Oryctolagus cuniculus: one gene and its partner. The protein of the gene in region 1 interacts with the protein of each later gene in a biochemical or structural test. Links are inferred from orthologs where the notes say so. Each region holds a gene or a part of one and is shown on either strand. Other genes may lie near its edges.

Evidence for each region. The genes of interacting proteins can lie anywhere in the genome.
Region 2: the proteins of FLNA (region 1) and ITGB1 form a complex in vitro, tested with the Homo sapiens proteins (3 studies listed by BioGRID and IntAct). The link is inferred for Oryctolagus cuniculus from reciprocal best matches to the Homo sapiens genes FLNA and ITGB1.

The regions. Positions count from the first base shown.
Region 1 is NC_091453.1:132,584,981-132,588,537, reverse strand, and holds part of FLNA (filamin-A), read left to right. Parts: intron 1-72; coding exon 73-233; intron 234-320; coding exon 321-491; intron 492-852; coding exon 853-976; intron 977-1,063; coding exon 1,064-1,220; intron 1,221-1,812; coding exon 1,813-2,002; intron 2,003-2,160; coding exon 2,161-2,184; intron 2,185-3,557. UniProt on the Homo sapiens protein: Promotes orthogonal branching of actin filaments and links actin filaments to membrane glycoproteins. Anchors various transmembrane proteins to the actin cytoskeleton and serves as a scaffold for a wide range of cytoplasmic signaling proteins.
Region 2 is NC_091444.1:108,893,674-108,897,696, reverse strand, and holds the start of ITGB1 (integrin beta-1), read right to left. Parts: upstream 2,815-4,023; 5' UTR 2,606-2,814; intron 2,189-2,605; exon of another isoform or gene 2,027-2,188; intron 1-2,026.

The sequences.
Region 1 (3,557 bases):
ACCACCAGGGACGCAGAGGAGAGCCATGGGCTCAAGACCCTCAGAGAGTGACGGGCTGTCTGTTGGGACCAGGGGAGCTGGCACAGGTGGCCTGGGCCTGGCTGTCGAAGGGCCCTCTGAGGCCAAGATGTCCTGCATGGACAACAAGGACGGCAGCTGCTCAGTGGAGTACATCCCCTATGAGGCCGGCACCTACAGCCTTAATGTCACCTATGGTGGCCACCAAGTGCCAGGTGAGAAGGCAGTGGTCAAGATGGCGGGGACTGCCCGATTTCCCCACGCTGTCTTACGCAGCTGCTGTCCCTTTGCCCAACCCCCAGGAAGTCCCTTCAAGGTCCCTGTGCATGACGTGACAGATGCATCCAAGGTGAAGTGCTCTGGGCCTGGCCTGAGCCCAGGCATGGTCCGTGCCAACCTTCCTCAGTCCTTCCAGGTGGACACAAGCAAGGCTGGGGTGGCGCCACTGCAGGTCAAAGTGCAGGGGCCCAAAGGTGAGTGCTCACCTACCCGGCAGCCAGGGACTCAGCAGGGGGAAGGAACATGGAGGCCCAGCATATGCAGAGTGGAGTCAGGTGTGTGGGCAGGTGGAGTGGGAGACCCTCGGGTTGACAGAGGAGAGCTGGTGGGGAGAGCAGGAGGAGGCAGGACAGATGGGGTAGGAGGGAGGGACAGCAAGGGTCCAAAGTGGCAACCAGAGTGGTGTCTCATGCCACAGGGGTTTGGGGCCGTCCTTGTGGATGGGCAGCGACAAGAGGAGGTCTAGGCCTGGTGCCCTGACCGGGTCAGTGTGGTGGGGGTGGGGGTAGGGGCCCAGGGGGCTGGCTGAGGTTGTGTCCCTTGGACTGGGGTCAGGCCTGGTGGAGCCAGTGGATGTGGTGGACAACGCCGATGGCACCCAGACTGTCAACTACGTGCCCAGCCGAGAAGGGCCCTACAGCATCTCAGTGCTGTATGGGGAAGAGGAGGTGCCCCGGAGGTGAGTCAGGGCCCACCACCCATGGGGAGGGGTCCAGGCTGGATGTCCAGAGCCTGTCTGACCTCTCGCAACACCCTGGCTCCACAGCCCCTTCAAGGTCAAGGTGCTGCCTACACATGATGCCAGCAAGGTGAAGGCCAGTGGCCCTGGACTCAACACCACTGGTGTACCCGCCAGCCTACCTGTGGAGTTCACCATTGATGCAAAGGATGCTGGGGAGGGCCTGCTGGCTGTCCAGATCACGGTGAGCTCACTGGCCTCACAAGCTGGACTGTAGCATGGTGCAGGCAGAGGAGAGGCCAGGCTGGGTCTCCCTAGGGAGTCATCCCAGGGAAGGCAGGGCCGGCCAGCTTCTGCTTTGCCACCATCATGACTACCTGAGGCTGATGCTGGCGGGCACAGGCCTCGTGGAGCACACACCCTCTGCTAACACTGAGGACCTTCCCAAGGCCTCTGGTGCTGCACTTCCCCTCCTGTGCCATTCTCACTGGGAAGATACGAGGAGATCTCCCAGCTGAGCTCCCCTGAGTGCTGGGGCAGACCCTGGTCTCAGGGTGGGAGCCCACAGGGGTCGTGGCAGGGGATTTGGGTAAGGGAGCATGGGCCCAGGGGCCCTGGCCCTGTCTGTCGGCACATGGAGCAGTGTTGAATACTTCTGCAGTTCCATCTAGACTGCCCATGGGGAAGTAAGGATGATGCTGGGTGCAAACAGCCTTTTGGGGCCATAGCTGCTGAGAGGCCTGGAGGCTGTCCCTGTAGCAGTGGTACTTGGCATCCATTCAGGAGGGTGGCTTACCTGGGCCCGGGCCAACACTTCCACGTGCTCTGCCGTGCAGGACCCTGAAGGCAAGCCCAAGAAGACACACATCCAAGACAACCACGATGGAACGTACACAGTGGCCTATGTGCCAGATGTGACGGGCCGCTACACCATCCTCATCAAGTATGGTGGTGATGAGATCCCCTTCTCCCCATACCGTGTCCGGGCCGTGCCCACCGGGGATGCCAGCAAGTGCACGGTCACAGGTGAGCCAGCCCGCCAGCGGCCGCTGTGGCGCTCGGCACGGGGCTTGGGTGTGCCTGTGTGCAAGGGCTCGCTGCTTGGGGCGGCGTGTGGGAGTGGGGGCCGCCCCCTTGAGTGACTCACCTGACCTTTCTCCTTGCTCTCTGCCCTCTCACCTCAGTGTCAATCGGAGGTCACGGGCTAGGTAAGCTGCTTGCTGGGGCCACTCCCAACGCCCCTCCTGCCCAGAGGGCAGCTTCCTTTCCTCTTCCGGTGCTGATTCCCAGGAGAGTTCCAGCTGCAGCTCCAAGCAGGGACAGAGTGGGTGGGGGGGCTGTGCAAGACAAGGCCATGGGCTGGAGGGTTAGGGCCCAGGGAGGCTTCCGGAGCTAAGCATGAACACTCCGGCCCTTCCCCTCTCTGGGCCTCCGTTTCCCCACTGGAGAACTCGGGTTGCAGCTGAGAGCTTTGGGGTGAGGTGCATCCTGAGAGGCACCCCACTTGGGGACTTTGGGGTCTGGGGATCTTGGCACTCTGGGCAAGTACCCAGGGATAGGCAGTGGGCCCTTCCTTCTCACAAGGGCTCCTGCTTGGATTAAGGGGACAAGGGGAGTCCCTAGCTCCGGCCAGATCCGCAGACTCCCATCCCTACCTCCCAGGGGCCTGAGTCCCGGGCCGGGGGAGGTGCATGAGCGGGTGGGGCTGGCTGGTAGTGCAGTAGCACCAGCGTCGACTGCTTGGGTGGCCAGCATGGCGGGGCCCAGCCCAGCCTAGAGCCCCAAAGTGCACTGTGTTGCCCGTCTCCCTCCTTCCCTTCCTCTCCTGTCCCCCTAGCAGTGACGTTATTCAGGCCATCCCCTGGCAGGCACAGAAGTTTGCCTGCCCCAGCCAGGGGCACCTCTAAGAGGGGAGAATGACTTGAGGGCCTCTAGAGGCTGTAGGCCGGCCACTCAGGCAGGGTGGCCAGGGAGCAGGTTAGAGGGAGGCTAGGGTTTTGGAGCGGGGCTAGACAGCCTTGTAGAGTAGACTTTGGGATCGGGGGAGACCTGGTGCATGTGCAGGACTCAGACTAGGGGGTAGGGGAGAGGTTTGCATTAGCCTTAGTTTACGTGGCCCATGTGTGCAGTGTGGAGGCAGGGAGCCCAGCTCAGGGGCTGAAGTCACTTTTGGGTAAGCTGGACGGGTGGCTTGGGCCAGGCCAGTGGCCATGGGATTTCAGGTGGGAGCCCAGCCAGGACAGGGTACTTGGAGAATAGAGTAGCTAAGACCTGCTGATGGGCTGGGAAAGGTGGGAATCGGGGGTAGTTGTGAGGCTGGAGCCCTAGCCATGAGCTGGGTGGTGTGGGGTGCAGGTGAGTGAGGCCTCCCAGGGCAGCAGATAGCCAGCTGTAGAGCCCAGGAGACCCACCTGGGCTGTGGTCAGTCAGCATAGTGCCTAAGCAGGGGGAAGAACCCTTGGCCAGTAGGGGGACTTGGTGGCAGACTGGCCAGGGGTGCCCCCTGAACTTGACCCTCAAGCAAGTTTGGTGCTCCTGGCTGCTTCCTTGGCAGGAGGCCAGGCTACAGGGGTGCTCTCGC
Region 2 (4,023 bases), on another chromosome or scaffold:
TGGCAGGGATTCTTGTGAAAACTTGCAGGACATTAAACGGACTGCTTTTCATGAAGATAAAAGGTCCCCAGTGCGTGCAACTCCTGCAGTTAGGAATTCAACACCAAGTAGGCATTTCCATTCAATGATGGTGACCTGTGGTGGACTCAAACTACACTACTAGAAGGCCCGAGTGTTAAAATTACTCAAGCTAAGGACTTTTCCACGTGGTTATACTTTGTTGCTCGTTTTGGTAGCATATATACAAAGCAGTTAGTCTTTGAGATTAAAAAATAACCTTAAAATACAACTTTACATTCTTAAACAAAAGAAAGTCCACATCACAAACACTTAAAATTGTCGATCTGTGAAGCCAAATTAGGCTAGGAGTTTATTTGCTCTGTCTACACAGTAAGGTATTAACCACATTCCCTATCTTTTAAACTAGCATTTTAATAACATCTTCCCCTTTTATACTCAATTTTTGGCGAAGTAAAATAGCTTTCATCCCAAATGTGTATACCAAAACATCAATGCTTCATTTCTTTCCTATTTATTACTTACCATCCCAAATCATGCATTTAGTATTGAGTAATGAAGCAAAATTACTTAAAAATATGAGCATTATAAAAACCACCAAACAACAAAAAAATAACCGACAACCTACGATTCTATGCACCTAAATATCTATGCGGACTGCTGACCCAGAGACATCTACGTAGCCAACCACACTGGGATGTCAGACTTGACCGCCCAGGAGGGCTGAGCAGCCGGCAAGTGCTCACGTCAGCGTCCCGGCGGCCACGGGCTCAGGACGGAGGTCCGTGGACCCTGGGGTCTTCGCCTCCGTAAAACGGGAGGTGAAAACAGGACCCACGGCTCCCCGCCCTGTCGCAGAACCGGGCGAGATAACCAGAATCCGTTATCGTATTGGCGCGGGCGCCTTTGTTCCACTTCAGAGGAACCAGCAGCGCGGAGCGGGGGTCGCGACTCGAGATCAAGAGCCAGCACCGGGCGAACCGCGCGCGCTCCCGGGCGGCACGAGCACCGGCGCGCGGCGGAGCGGCCCGGCCCTCGCCCAGCGCCCAGACCGGGGTCCTCAAGCCCAGACCGGGGTTCTCACGCCCGCGGCGGAGCGGCCAGACGGGGGTCCTCACGCCCGCGGCGGAGCGGCTCGGCCCTCGCCGAGCGCCCAGACGGGGGTCCTCACGCCCGCGGCGGAGCGGCCCGGCCCTCGCCCAGCGCCCAGACCGGGGTCCTCACGCCCGCGGTGGAGCGGCCCGGCCCTCGCCGAGCGCCCAGACCGGGGGTCCTCACGCCCAGACCGGGGTCCTCACGCCCAGACGGGGGTCCTCACGCCCGCGGCGGAGCGGCCCGGCCCTCGCCCAGTGCCCAGACCGGGGTCCTCACGCCCGCGGCGGAGCGGCCCGGCCCTCGCCCAGTGCCCAGACCGGGGTCCTCACGCCCGCGGCCTCCGCCCCGCACCCCGGCGCCGCGGCGGCTCCTCCCGCTCCCGGGGATCCCGGCCACTCCTCCCGGTTCCTGCGGGCACAGCGTGGCGGGCCCTGGCCCCGGCGACTCCTCCAGGCTCCCAGGGGTCCACCCCGCTCCCGGGGTCCGACAGCAAAGGGCTCGGCCCCCCGACTTCTCCCGACTCCCGAGGGCGACGGGTCCTGGCCCCCCAACTCCTCCCGGCTCCCCGCCCCCAGGGGCAGAGAACCGGGACTCCTCCCAGACGCCCGGGGCCGAAGGCGCTGGACCCCGAGTCCAGCTGCTGCCCGCTCTCGGGCGCTGTGGCCCGGCTCGGCGCTGCTGCCGCAGGACAAGCGCCCGGTGACCAGCACAGCGGCCGGCCGGGCCCTGAGCGAGGACCCCTGGGAGGCCTAGCTCTCCCCGGACGCGGGCGCTGACCCAGCGCTGCCGGAAACGGCCGGCCCCGCGCGGCAGCCACGCCGGCCTCCCAGGCAGAGGGGACGCCGGCCGGGAAGGGCCGCGAGGACGGGCCGGGCGCCGCCGGGCGCGCTGCGCCGCGCGCCGCAGGCCTCACCTTCCCCAGGCGGCGTCCGGGCCTGCGCCTTAGGCTGGGCCTGCTGCTCGGCGTCCCCGCGGCTCGGCGCGGCCTCTCCCGGCTCCGGGCGCGGCGGGCGGCGGCTCCTCCTCCTCCTCCTCCACCTCCTCCGGGCCACCGGGCGGGGTCTCGGCCGCCCCGCGCCGCCTCCCGGCCGGAAGCCCCTCCGCGGCCCCGCCCCGCGGGCCGGGCGCGCGCCCCTCGCTCCGGAAGCGCATTCCTGACGGCCGCGCCTCGGGAGGCGCCCGGACAAAGGGCTCGGCCGGGCGGGGCCGCGCGGGGCCGGGCGCGCGCGGGGCGGCCGGCCGGGGGCCGCGGTGCCTCAGCCCCGTCTCCCGCGCCTGCGGGTCCCGCGCGCCGGTGTCTCGGCCGCCGCTCTGATCCGGTGTAAGAGGAGCCCGCCCGGGGCGTTGGGGGTTGCACAGGGTCCCTGGGGCTCTCTGACCCACGAGCTCCGTGGTCCCGCGCACGGCGACCGCTGGGGACCGGCGTTAATGACCCCGTGACCCTGAAGGGGGCGGTGAACTCCCCGCGCGCGAGGGCCCCCGCGGGATTCACCTGCGCTCGGTTCGCGCCGCCAGGCCGCAGGGTTCCTTCCCTGGGGTGCAGCTCTGCCGGCACACAGAGCGGGTGCTGGAATTCTGGATAACGCTGGATAAGTTACGGTGCAGGGCTCCTGTGGGCCCAGGCTGGAGCGGCGTGGGAGGGCAGCGAGAAGGGGGAAGCGGAGTGTTCTGTAGAGAAGCGGCTCACACAAACACCAGGGGGAGGGCAGGGCCGCCCGTGCTGCTGAGGAGGCGTGCGAGCCACGTCGCAGGTCTTGAACTCAGCACCCGTGCGGGCTTCGCCACCCCAGCTCCCGGGCAGTGTTCTCGTCTGCCCGGTGGTAGACCCTCCTCCTGACCCTTACTGCAGTTCCCGACCCTGCTAGTACCTGCTCTCCAGAAGAGCCTTTGGTCACCTGCCGCTCTCAGTTGCTCGCCCACAAGGGTCTGTGTGATCTCGGTCTCTGCCATTAGAAGAAGGCTTACCTCAGTGAAAGGCACCATGCTGCCTTAGTCAGATGCACTTGCCTTTCCTCAAACACTTGGGTCCCACGGGTTGTCTTTTATCACGTGATTGTGGGAGACCTGCTGGGGTGAGAGCCCTCTGCCTTCTGATGGTTGAGAACTCCTGAGACTCGGGGCAGCACTGTGATGTAGCAGGTAAAGCCCCCACCTGCAGTGCCGGCATCCCATGTGGCCACTGCTCCACTTCCAATCCAGCTCTCTGCTATGGCCTGGGGAAGCAGTAGAAGATGGCCCAAGTCCTTAGGCCCCTGCACCCGCATGGGAGACCTGGAGGAAGCTCCTGGCTCCTGGCTTCGGATCTGCCCAGCTCCAGCTGTTGCAGCCATGTGGGGAGTGAACCAGCAGATGGAAGATATATGTATATGTGTGTGTGTGTGTGTGTGTGTCTTTCTCTCCCCCCCCTTCTGCCTCTCTGTAACTCTGCTATTCAAATAAATAAATAAATTGTTTAAAAAAAAAAAAAAAAGAACACCTGCGACTCAGAATGGATGCCTGCATCTGTGAGAGTGAAAGGGTGAGACGTTCAGACAGACGACACAAGACCAGATTTTCCTGGGGTTGGCCACAGACTGACACCATCCATACCAGATCATTTTTTACATTTTTTTTATCTGTTTCATTTACTGAAAGACATTGAGACAGAAACAGATAATGATCTTCCATCCTCAAATGCTGCAGCAGCCAGGGCTATAGCAGGCAGAAGCCAGGAGTCAGGAACTCTATCTGGGCCTCTCATGTGGGTGGCAGGGACCCAGCTACATGAGTTGTCACCTGCTGCCCCCCCAAAAAATAATGCTCATTAGTAGAAAGCTGGAATCAGAAACAGAGCTGAGACTAGAACCTAGGCACTTAGGGCATGTAGGCAGATCACAAATCACACAATAAGATCACAAATCAAAAAAAAAG